Callithrix jacchus: one gene and its partners. The main gene of each other region encodes a partner of the protein of the gene in region 2 in a complex. Links are inferred from orthologs where the notes say so. Each region holds a gene or a part of one and is shown on either strand. Other genes may lie near its edges. The genes, in order: MED31, MED12 and MED20.

What was found.
Region 1: MED12 (region 2) and MED31 share a complex: the UniProt entries of both Homo sapiens proteins name them as parts of the mediator complex. The link is inferred for Callithrix jacchus from reciprocal best matches to the Homo sapiens genes MED12 and MED31.
Region 3: MED12 (region 2) and MED20 share a complex: the UniProt entries of both Homo sapiens proteins name them as parts of the mediator complex. The link is inferred for Callithrix jacchus from reciprocal best matches to the Homo sapiens genes MED12 and MED20.

Annotation. Positions count from the first base shown.
Region 1 is NC_133506.1:108,211,204-108,214,950, reverse strand, and holds the start of MED31 (mediator of RNA polymerase II transcription subunit 31), read left to right. Parts: upstream 1-1,469; 5' UTR 1,470-1,551; coding exon 1,552-1,579; intron 1,580-2,397; coding exon 2,398-2,475; intron 2,476-2,760; coding exon 2,761-2,857; intron 2,858-3,747. UniProt on the Homo sapiens protein: Component of the Mediator complex, a coactivator involved in the regulated transcription of nearly all RNA polymerase II-dependent genes.
Region 2 is NC_133524.1:68,398,276-68,402,022, forward strand, and holds the start of MED12 (mediator of RNA polymerase II transcription subunit 12), read left to right. Parts: upstream 1-1,396; 5' UTR 1,397-1,565; coding exon 1,566-1,664; intron 1,665-2,171; coding exon 2,172-2,276; intron 2,277-2,483; coding exon 2,484-2,675; intron 2,676-2,811; coding exon 2,812-2,971; intron 2,972-3,471; coding exon 3,472-3,653; intron 3,654-3,747. UniProt on the Homo sapiens protein: Component of the Mediator complex, a coactivator involved in the regulated transcription of nearly all RNA polymerase II-dependent genes.
Region 3 is NC_133505.1:50,422,653-50,426,399, forward strand, and holds the start of MED20 (mediator of RNA polymerase II transcription subunit 20), read right to left. Parts: upstream 2,220-3,747; 5' UTR 2,119-2,219; coding exon of another isoform or gene 2,105-2,118; intron 1,225-2,104; 5' UTR 1,174-1,224; coding exon 1,079-1,173; intron 1-1,078. Other genes in the region: BYSL (bystin), read left to right, coding at 2,658-2,925. UniProt on the Homo sapiens protein: Component of the Mediator complex, a coactivator involved in the regulated transcription of nearly all RNA polymerase II-dependent genes.

The DNA of each region.
Region 1 (3,747 bases), on a different chromosome or scaffold from region 2:
AGATTATTTTGCTCAACTTTAGGCTAATGTGTCCTGAGCATGTTCAAGGTAGGCTAGGCTAAGCTATGATGTTTAGTAGGTTGTAGATAGTAAGTGCATTTTCAAATTACCATATTTTCTACTTACAATGGGTTTATTGGGAGGTAACCCCATTGTAAGTGGAGGAGTATCTGTAGTGCCTGGCACAGAGCAGCTACTCAATAAATATGACTCTTGTCCATCTTGTTCAAACCTCAGGTCAGGTTTCAATGACTTCCTTTCACTTTCCCTTCTAAGATTATTTTTGCTTGCTGGTAGGTTTGCTATCATTTTTAACATCTAACCTACCTTAAAAAAGTATGTGAATGGGGGTGCCAGGTAAAAGAAAACCATTTACTTTGAAACATAAACAAAGGGCAATTAATAATTTATGAGTTAGTTGCTTCTCAAGCTTTTAGCAGGCATGGAATCATTCCACAGGTCATGATTTCAGTTTGGTCTGTGTTCCTAAGGGGCGAAGGTCATCGGAGGGCTTTGGATCCCAAACTCACCTGGCTCAGAGGTTCAAACAGCCTTTGTCCATCAACCCGATTTATACAGCATCCTGGGCCTGAAAACCTTTTGTGCTGGCTTCAAGTGAATATAATTCACTGGGTCAAAAGCAGGCTGGTCCAAGACGCCGCAGGATGGTCAAAAAACGTTGGCTGTGTTCAGGAACCGCAGCCTAGCTGTTTCTTACATTGATTTATGAGCTATTTCCATGAAACCGAAAAAGATTGGTCCACCTGGCAGCTGGCTGGCTGGCAACTGGAGGCCTTTCTGTCCTGGCTGAGGGCCCTGGCACCTTGGTGGCCTTTGGGAAGCAGTATCTCATCAGGCTTCTTTCTCTCGGAGGGAGGGGGTGGTGGTGGCGGCCGGCCTGGCCCGCGGGGCTGGGCTCTCCGCGCGGTGCAGAGACGTCTCCACCCGCAGGGTCCCTGACGTGGCGGGAGGTCGTTTCCGTGCGCCGCGAGGAGGCTTCCACGTGCCAGGAGGACTCCTTGAGGACGCCAGGGAGCCACTTTCCCGACGGGGAGAGGGAAGACCCCTCGCTGCGGCCCCGTGAGGTCTCCACCCATCCGGGCGGACCGTAGACGTCTCCGCGTAGCGGGAGATCCGCACCGGGGCGAAGACTGCTTGCCCCCTGGGCTGAGGCCATTCTGCCAGGCGTGAGGGGGGCCAGGGAGGCCTCTGGGCACCCCACATACCAACCGTCACCGCAGGCAGAAGAGAGAAAAACTACTGTACTACCACAGGGGGGAGAGCCACAACACGATGATGTGGAAGCATCATTGTCCTTCGAAGGCTAAAACACTAGGCTTCTGCCCCTCGGGCGCTCCCACGGCCCTGTCCCCGCCCCCTCGCCGTTCGGTAGCCAGCGGGGATGGAGCGGCCCGGGGATGGGCGGAGCCTCCCGGCCGCATATCCCACAATGCCCCGGGACCGGAAGAGGGAGCTGTGGTTTTTGGAACTTCCCTCGCCACTCTGGGCGTTTGCTCTGTCGGGCTGGTGGCGGGTTGGTGTGTGTTTGTTATGGCCGCCGCCGTCGCTATGGAGACAGGTGAGTAGCTCTCTGAGCCTGGAGTCTTCTCAGATGGAACGCTCCTAGGCCCAGACCTCTTCCCCGGGGCTTCCTTTCAGGCCTCACTCTGCAGGGTTCGTATTTGGACAGGGCGGAGAGAAGGCCCTTGTGGCGTCTAGAAAGGCTAAGGTACTTTTCGCAGTTCTCCTAATTTGGTTTGTGCCACATCTTTGCTATTCAAAAACCACCAGCTCGCCAGGGTGGGCGAGATTAAGAGAGGACTTGTGTGTTAAACCGTGTCCTCCTTGATTGGTTTTCTGCTTCTCACGAGCTTGCGTATTTGAAATACCGTCGCTAGACTTGTGTATCATTGTGCTGTTGCTGCTTCTCAGATATGCATAAACTCCACGATCTTTTAGGCTCTCTGCAGTCTCTTTTTCGGCTTGCATCCTAAGTTTTTCTTAAAGGATTCAGCGCGTAGCTTTTGCGAAACGTAATCACTGTTAACAATTGTTACAATGCATTATTAAAATAGGGGAAGCACAGTTATTACAGCTTACCTAAGTGATCACTTAAAATTCCTGCAAAGTGGTCCACGAGTTGGTAGGAATTCTGCTCTGTTTGTGTGGCTGTTTTCTTTGATGATTTCTCTTTAACTTTAGAGAAACTTCTAACTTAATCCTTTTAATCAAGGCTCCGCTTTTCTTAGATTTCGAAGAAAGGTTTATCTCCACCCACTCCCAGTTTAGGAAGACCATCTCGATATTAGTCAGGTTTCTTTATTCTTTCCTTACCACAAATCAGTATTATATACAGTGACCTTTATTTTCGATGATTTTTGCTGTCTTGTCTCCTAGATGATGCTGGAAATCGACTTCGGTTTCAATTGGAGTTGGAATTTGTGCAATGTTTAGCCAACCCAAATTACCTTAATTGTAAGTTTTTAAGCACCTCATTAAATTGAGTAGCTGTTAATTTCTGACAGAAGAGTTGCAATTCAAAATAGTATCTGCTTGTACACATTCTCAATGAAATGAAATTACACTTAGCTGGTGTATAGATGTAATTGTGTACATTGGGACTTGTATTTTGAATCCGATGTGTGTTGGTGGTGGGAGTGTTATGTAAATAGATCCTTTATATTAGGGGTAACAAATCATAGTTTAAGAATTGGTTTGACCTACAGATTTTCTTTTTTTTTTTTTTTTAATGCTTTTCAGTTCTTGCCCAAAGAGGTTACTTCAAAGACAAAGCTTTTGTTAATTATCTTAAATACTTGCTTTACTGGAAAGACCCAGAATATGCCAAGTATCTAAAGTAAGTTTAATTTTTATAATCCTAAGCATGTGTATACTTTATTATATAATAGATTTCTTAGTTTCACATTGGCAAAAATGTATTTTGAATCTCTCCACTTCTTTCAGTTGTCACCTTAATACAAGACACCCTCATCTCTAACTTGTATCACTGCAGTAATCTATTGCCTGGTTATCTCTGCTTCCACTTTTACCTTCCTGCTCCCCTCCCGCTCCCTGCAAACCAAACAAAGCAAAACAGCTTTCTACACAGAAGCCTGCTTAATCACTTAAAAATATAAATCAGAACACTTTACTTTTTTGCCTAGAATCTTTCAATGGCTTTGCATTTCCATGCGAAATAAAATCCAGTCTCTCTTTTTTGGGCCAAACCCCTCTATGATCTGGCTCTGCTTTGTCTGACCTTGTCTTTTACCGACCTCCCCATCTCCCCAGGTTTCTGATCTCAAAGAACTCACAATCTGTAAATGTTGTTTAACATTACGTAATTTCAGCCATGGGCTGAAATTAAGAACACAAAAAGAGAGTATCTGTAAGGAAGGTGTTTGGGGTTGTTGGGAGGAGTCTTACCTGAATCTTAGAACTGCTATCTTTTCTTTAAGTCCTGTTCTGTGTCAAGAACAGTGCTAAATACTTCACATGCATTTACTCATTTATGTGTATATATATGTTTACCATTCAGGTTGTTCAGCAGACACTTTCCTGTTAAAGCTTACTAAGTTGCAAGAAGTGTATTATAACCAGAAAGCAATTCCCTTTTAATGGTAAAAAAAAACAAAAAACTACACCTTGAACTCACACCTCTGCTTTGTTTTAAGCAGGTAGTCAGAAAGCAGTAGTGAACTTTTTTTTTTAAGACAAAAATTTGAGAGGAAATGTTTCAAATTTGTC
Region 2 (3,747 bases):
GTAACAAGAGCAAGACTCCGTCTCAAAAAAATAAATAAAATAAATAAAAATAAAAATATCCTTCAGTTAGTTTAAATGTTACCTCAGCCTCCCGAGCAGCTGGGATTACAGGCACCTGCCACCCTGCCAGCTAATTTTTGTATTTTTAGTAGAGATGGGATTTCACCACGTTGGCTAGGCTGGCCTTGAATTTCCGACCTCAGGTGATCCGCCCTTCTTGGCCTCCCAAAGTGCTGAGATTACAGACCTGAACCACTGCTCCCGGCCTTGAATTAATTTTTCTTTCCATTGTGATTCAACAGCATTTTGTTATTTTTGTTACTGGTGTTATTTTTGTTTCTTGTTATTTGTTACTTTTGTTACAGCACACGGCTGTCTTTTCTCTAAAAGGCTCGCCTGTAGTCCCGGCTACTAGGAGGCTGAGGCGAAAGGATGGCTGGAGTCCAGGAGGTTGAGCCTGGGCAACAGAGGGAGAACGTGCCTCAAAATAAATAAATAAATGGCAATACGATAATAGGATATTGGCTCTGGAATCGAAAATCTTAGTGCTGGCTCTGTTACTCAGTAGCTGTATAATATTGGGTAAGTGAATTTTCACACTTTGAAAACCAGCTTCCTCATCCGCAAAATGGAGCCAATAATAATCCCTAACTCCTGAGACTGTGAGGAGATTAAAGGAGATAATGTCTGAAAAGCACCTGACACAGTAGGTGCCCCTTTCGCTAGACCAAGGGTTCTTAACCTGGAGTTCATGGACCCTTAGGGGATACATGGATGAATTTCAGGGGATCTAAGAATCTCCTTGGAAAGTAACATTTTGCATGTCAATATATGCATTCTGAGAAGGTCCATAGCTTTCATCAGCACCTTTAAGGGTTTGTGAATCAAAAAAGTTAGTCTGTGGTACCCTTGGGCAGAAAACACAAAAAAAGGTTAGGTAACTCGATTGTAGACCTTGAGGGATTAGAGCCAGCCTTTCAGGGTTTAATAGGTTCTTTCTTATGCATACATAGTTTCTAATGTTCACAATAGCCCCTTGAAGGAGGTGTTAGCGCACCTATTTTTCAGATGCCAGAACTAAGAAACGAAGTAATCTGTAATAGATGGAGTTTCTAACCAGTGCAAACATTATTTAAAACTTGTCTAGGCCAAAACTGAGCTAGGCTCTGGGAACCGAATTCCAGTCAGAACTCAGCACCACAGAGGCCTCCCTCTTCCCTGGTTTGCATCCCCAGCTCATTCCGCGCCTCCGGAACGTTTCATAGGTTTTTGCTGAGTTAAATCGACTTGCCGCCGCCACCGCCGAAAAGCTCCCGAGGCACAGAGCTCCGCCCCCACCGCGCCAGGCCCCACCCCCTCTGTGGTCGGTATTGTCCGATTGTTCCCGGCGTCCCTCGGCTTCCCTCGGTAGTTTCCGGCAATGGTCGAGAGTTTCTAACGTGCCCCCTTGTCTCTCGGCCGCCGTCCTCCCAACCACCGCCCCCCTTTTCGGCTCCCTCTCCCGGTTCCCGCTCCCCTAGTCAGCCTGGCCCTGCTGGCGCCTCAGGCGCTACGGGCTGGTCAAGATGGCGGCCTTCGGGATCTTGAGCTACGAACACCGGCCCCTGAAGCGGCCGCGACTGGGGCCTCCCGATGTTTACCCTCAAGACCCCAAACAGAAGGAGGTGCGTTCGATAATCGGGGCTCTGGAGGGGCCGGGGGCACGCGATCAGCCTAGGAGGAGGCATTGACGGCCAGGAAGGGGGGGCGGGGCGGTTCGGTGGGAACCAAAGTATTGAAAGGGGGAAGAGTAAAGTGGGGTGGCGTGGGAGGGCAGAACAGGGGGCGGTGGGGGGGTTCCAAGGTATGAATAGGGGGTGATGTAGGGGGCCGCACCAGAGGCGCCCTCCTCCACACACACCTCAGAAAGTTGTCTGAGGCAGCTTGGTGGGGTACGGCTGCTCGCAAGAAAAGAGTGATGTTTGAGGGTGCGTTGGGTGGCTGGGAATCATAGTGACCAAAGGGGTGCGGGTGGGGTCCAAGTGAATGTAAGGGCCCAGCTGTAAGTAACAATCTGTTCTACACGGAACCCTCCTCCCCGCCTGTCCCCTTGTTCCTTCGTTTCTCCTGCCCTCCTCTCCCACCACCTCCCACTAAGGAAAACAAAACTAAATGACGCTTTCCTGCCTCAGGATGAACTGACGGCCTTGAATGTAAAACAAGGTTTCAATAACCAGCCTGCTGTCTCTGGGGATGAACATGGCAGTGCCAAGAACATCAACTTCAATCCTGCCAAGGTGAGACAACTCTGCCAGGCTGAAGGAAAAGGCTGGAAAAATCTGAGAAGGAGCAAAGGCCCTGGGTTGGGAAGACTTAAAGGGACAACCTAAGTGGCTGAGTTTACCTTCATGACTTAATGATATCTCATTGACATTTGACCATCAAAAGGCAGGACCACCTGTCTCCCCTTCTTCTCACCCTGAGGTGCAGTTTTCTTCCCTCAGATCAGTTCCAACTTCAGCAGCATTATTGCAGAGAAGTTACGTTGTAATACCCTGCCTGACACTGGTCGCAGGAAGCCCCAAGTGAACCAGAAGGACAACTTCTGGCTGGTGACTGCACGATCCCAGAGTGCCATTAACACTTGGTTCACTGACTTGGCTGGCACCAAGCCACTCACACAGCTAGCCAAAAAGGTGAGGTACTGTTTCCTGTCCTTCAGGCCAAGGAGGGAGCATGAGGTACCAAGTACCCTCCTATTCCCATATTAAGCTACATGGGTATCAGCTCATGGGGTTAATAGAGACCTCACTATTTGCAATGTCCATCCAGGTCCCCATTTTCAGTAAGAAGGAAGAAGTGTTTGGGTACTTAGCCAAATACACAGTGCCTGTGATGCGAGCCGCCTGGCTCATTAAGATGACCTGTGCCTACTATGCAGCAATCTCTGAGACCAAGGTTAAGAAGAGAAATGTTGTTGACCCTTTCACGGGTGAGTAACTCCTAACACCAGGTATACTGCTGATGGCTTCAAGGAGTGATAGAGACACCCTTGGAACCATCCTCCTTCTTAATCTAGATTCCTTGTTTCTGCTTGTTTCTTGCATTCGCTTGATCAGTAAACACTGAGAAATTTGAATATCTACTTTGTGCCTATACTGGGCTACAAAGATGTCCAGTGCATAATCTCTGCCCCCAGGATACTGGTAGTCTAGTAGGGCTACTAAGACATATGTACAAATAACATAATCAAATATAGAAAGTGGTGAATGTCAAGCCAGGAGGCAGAAGGTTCTTTGAGTGGACAGAAAGATTACTTTCTTATGGGGATACCTGGGAAGGCTTTAGGAAGGTGGGATTTGACTAGAGACTAAAAGGATGAATCACATTTACAAATACGGTGATTGGGGGTGGAGGTACGGTATTCTAAGTAGAAGGATATTCTCATCAGAAGGATAGTATCAAATAGCCCTTTTCCCCTCTTTCCTCCAGAATGGACTCAGATCATCACCAAGTACTTATGGGAGCAGCTACAGAAGATGGCTGAATACTACCGGCCAGGGCCTGCAGGAAGTGGGGGCTGTGGTTCCACGATAGGGCCCTTGCCCCATGATGTAGAGGTGGCAATCCGGCAGTGGGATTACAATGAGAAGCTGGCCATGTTCATGTTTCAGGTAGGGAGTAGGGCATGTTGTGTGGGGCATTGGGTTGAGCCTGAACTTGTACTCTGCCAGCAGAGAACAGAATCTGCCTGCCACCTTGCCCCAG
Region 3 (3,747 bases), on a different chromosome or scaffold from region 2:
TGAGTGCCTAAAGAATATTTCCCTACATGTATACCTATATCTTAGTTCATATCAGAGGAATGCGTAGAGTGGACACAGTACATAGTATGAATTAAGGAATAAGCAGCTTATAATCAGAGGAATGCCTAAGAGCAGACACTGTGCAGAGCATGATTTAAGGGAAAAACAGTTATGCCAGGACAAGAATCCATGGCCCAGGCGGCAGCGTTCAGTATCGTAAAGATACCCGCTGTATGGCAGGCTTGGGACGAGAGCCACTCCTCCTCATGAAGGAGTTGTAGGACCTTGCTCCCGTTCTTGTGGAAGGCTGCCCTCAGAACGGCAATCCACCTTGGTGACTGTGAACTTTATCAGCTCTTGCTACTGTGCTGCTTGAAAAGCATCTTCCCATAGGACCCATTGGAAGCTGCCAGAAGGTGGCGGTAACCCTGACAGCTCTGTCACTGCTATGTGACTTAAAGCATCCTCCTATAAATCTTCCTAGAAGGAGTTTGACCATAGATAGAAGTATTGCACACTGAGCACGGCCCACCTTCATACCTCGGTGACCTAATGGGGGTGGACCCCTTACTGCACACGGCCCTTGCCTTTGTGGGAACGGGCCCTTTGCTGTGCACTGTCCACCTCCTGGCCTAGGTGACCTCATGGGGGTGGACCCCATGTTTTATTGCTCACGACCCTATCTCTATCCTTAAAGATGATTTCACTCACTGGCCTGCCCCCTAACCTACACAATAAATACTCATGCTTCTGGACATTCGGGGCCTCGCCTGACTCTGCTTCTAGGTGGTGTGCCCCCCTCTCCACCCTGAGCCCAGCTGCGTTTTTGTTGTACTTCTGTGTCCTGTCTCTTTATTTCTCGGATCCTGCGCCTCAGCACAGCATAAGGCTCACCCCACGACCCTGTGGGGCCATCAGCCCTACATCAGGCTCCCAACGTGCCCTACATCCTTTCCCTGGAGCTGCCTTTTCCATTTGAGAGCAGGGGTGGCAGGGCACAATGGCTCATGTCTGTAATGCCAACACTTTGGGAGACCAAAGCAGGAGGCTCACTTCAGTTCAGAAATTCAAAACCCACTTGTGCAAAATAGCAAGACCCAATTTCTTTTTTTTTTTTTTTAAAGAAAGAGCAAAGGGTTCCAGGGTTCTACGCTGCATCCGTTCCATTTCCATCTTTCACGTATCTTGCTTCCATTAAGGAACACAGGAGGAGGAGGATGTCAACTGTGGGAAACAAGAGTGCAATCACTGAGAAACCCGCGAGAAACGGGGCTACCAGGAGAAGTATTTACCCCACACACGCTTTTATATGAGCTACAGCCACTGGCTTCAGATATCCTGGCCCCCGGGATTCTCCCACAGGAAAGATGCTCACACCTCCTGCGATAAGAAAAAAAAATGTCTGGGACCTAGTACCTTACAACTAATGCCTCCGCGAGCGTTGTACCTTTCCCTGCCACCTCATCTTCCAACTGAGACTTAAAACATATGAAAGATAAAAACTCCATTGAAACTAGACCAACCATGGAATTAAACATAGTGAGAAGCAGGTCCTAAAGAGTGCCTGGAACCACGATCTCCTTCTTATCAATAGCCTCTTTTTTCCTCTAGACCCAAGATCTTAAAATGGGCAAATTACAAACAGACACCAGCTGGTCTAACTGCATTTGATGGCTGAGACAAGGGTAGGCGAAAATCTCAAAAAAAAAAAAAAAAAATACTGTCTCCTGATCGCTTTTAACCTACTCCCTCCAACCCTGTCTGCAGGTAGGTCCTAATCCAAAGTCCCTATTTCCAACCTTGAGGTCCAAGTGCAGACAGTACTATGGCCTCACGGGAAGGAAGATGTACCCATAAGGGAAGAAGGTACATAACCATTGATAGGTCCCTGGTATAAAACCTTTGCTCTGCCGCCTTCCAAGAGGTAAGAGCGCATCTCCGAGGAAAAAGGCCCAGGGAACCCGCGGCCCGCACGGTATCCTCTTATCCAGATAACCCGAGGACATTTCGCTCAGCTCCCAGAGGACGGCGGGCCATGGTCAAGGACCTCTTCCCGGCCCTTCACAACTCCAAATCCCGCCCCACAAAACCCCTGCAGTCCTACCAAGTCACTCCCATGGTGTCGGGACAGGAAGGTGGCAGGATCACACAGTAGAAATGCGTCGTTCCCAGTCCGCCCACAGGAACTGCTTCAGTTCCCCAACACAGGCTTCGGTCGCAGAAGGGATTCCGGAAATACGTAAAAACAGAGCGCCGGGTCCACGCCTTCCCCAAGGAATGGGGCGTGTCTTGGCACCCGTCGGTGACGCCTCCAGTGACATAATCAGTGGATTCCCGCTCTCATGTTTCTAGCTCCGGAAATTCCCGGTTGGCTGAGCACTCTAGGCTTAGATCCATGAAGCTAGAAGAACGAGACTTAGACTGCACTATTGAGAGACGCCAACGTTAAAGGAAGTAAATGTATTTGGGAGTCCAGCTCCGGAACCCAGGAGCTCTTTTAGTGGGAGGGGCGGTGCTGATAGCGCTTCTGGCCTCCGATAGCTAGAGGGCGCTGTGATCGCAGCGTGGCCTCTTGGGAGGTGGGAGTTCACCCAAGTGTATTCTGGCCTTTTCGTCGTCCCCACGTGCGAACCTTCCCGGCAGTATTTTCAAGAAAAATGCCCAAGTTCAAGGCCACCCGTGGGGCCGGGGGTCAGGAAAAACATGCGCCCCTGGCTGAGCAGATCCTAGCTGGGAATGCGTTGCGGGCAGGGGTCCGGGAGAAGCGGCGGGGTCGTGGCACCGGAGAAGAGGAGGAAGAGTATGTGGGGCCTCGGCTGAGCCGACGGATTTTGCAGCAAGCACGGCAGCAACAGGAGGAGCTCGAGGCCGAGCATGGGACTGGGGACAAGCCCGCGGCGCCGCAGGAACGCACCACGCGGCTGGGTGAGTGTCTGGGATGAGGTCCGAACAAGACAATGGCTAGCAGCGGGGCCGGGGGCGGGGGGGAGGACAGCTAAAAAGTGTCCGGCAGGGGACTTGCAAAAGTAATGGAATGGGAGACTAAGCAATGGCCAGAGACCTCCGCGCCCACTCCTAGTTTTAGGCACTCCCTTCTAGGCACCCCCGAAGTTAGGCCAATAGGAAGTAATCGCTCGCGCCACTAAGTGTTCTTAGCATTTATCCATTGGTTTTGTAAATATTTATGGAAAACCTACTACGAGCTTTGCGCTATGCTCGAAGTTCAATCGAATATTTGAGTACAGAAGTAACAACATACAGACACGTCTGATTTAAGGACCTTACAGTCAAGCCCAGCGGAGAGACAATTACGTAGACTCTTAGAATAATATATTTCCATGATAAAATATCGTTTCCCTGGTGACAGTAGCATTGGTCTTGAGAAGCTTCTCCGATTGTAGGACCTTTAAGCTGAGAACTGAAAAACGAATGGGAAGTGTAATGAGCAGAAAACACGTTTCGCAGACAAAAAGGGAGAGAAATGAATTGACGTTTGATAGGTTCTTACTAGGGAGGGAGTGCTTACCTCTGAGGTGCTTCATCCACTTCTCAGATCTCATCTAAAGCAATATTTGACACAATTGAATAGTGGCCTCCTGCCCACAGTATCCTTACTTGGGTTATAAGACATCAACACTGCTGTTTCACTGCCACCTCACTTCTCAATATCGTTGGCTGACTCTTACTTGCAACCTCTTATCCTCAGTCCTCTGACCTCTTCTCTTCAGATATTCTCTAGTGCTGTCA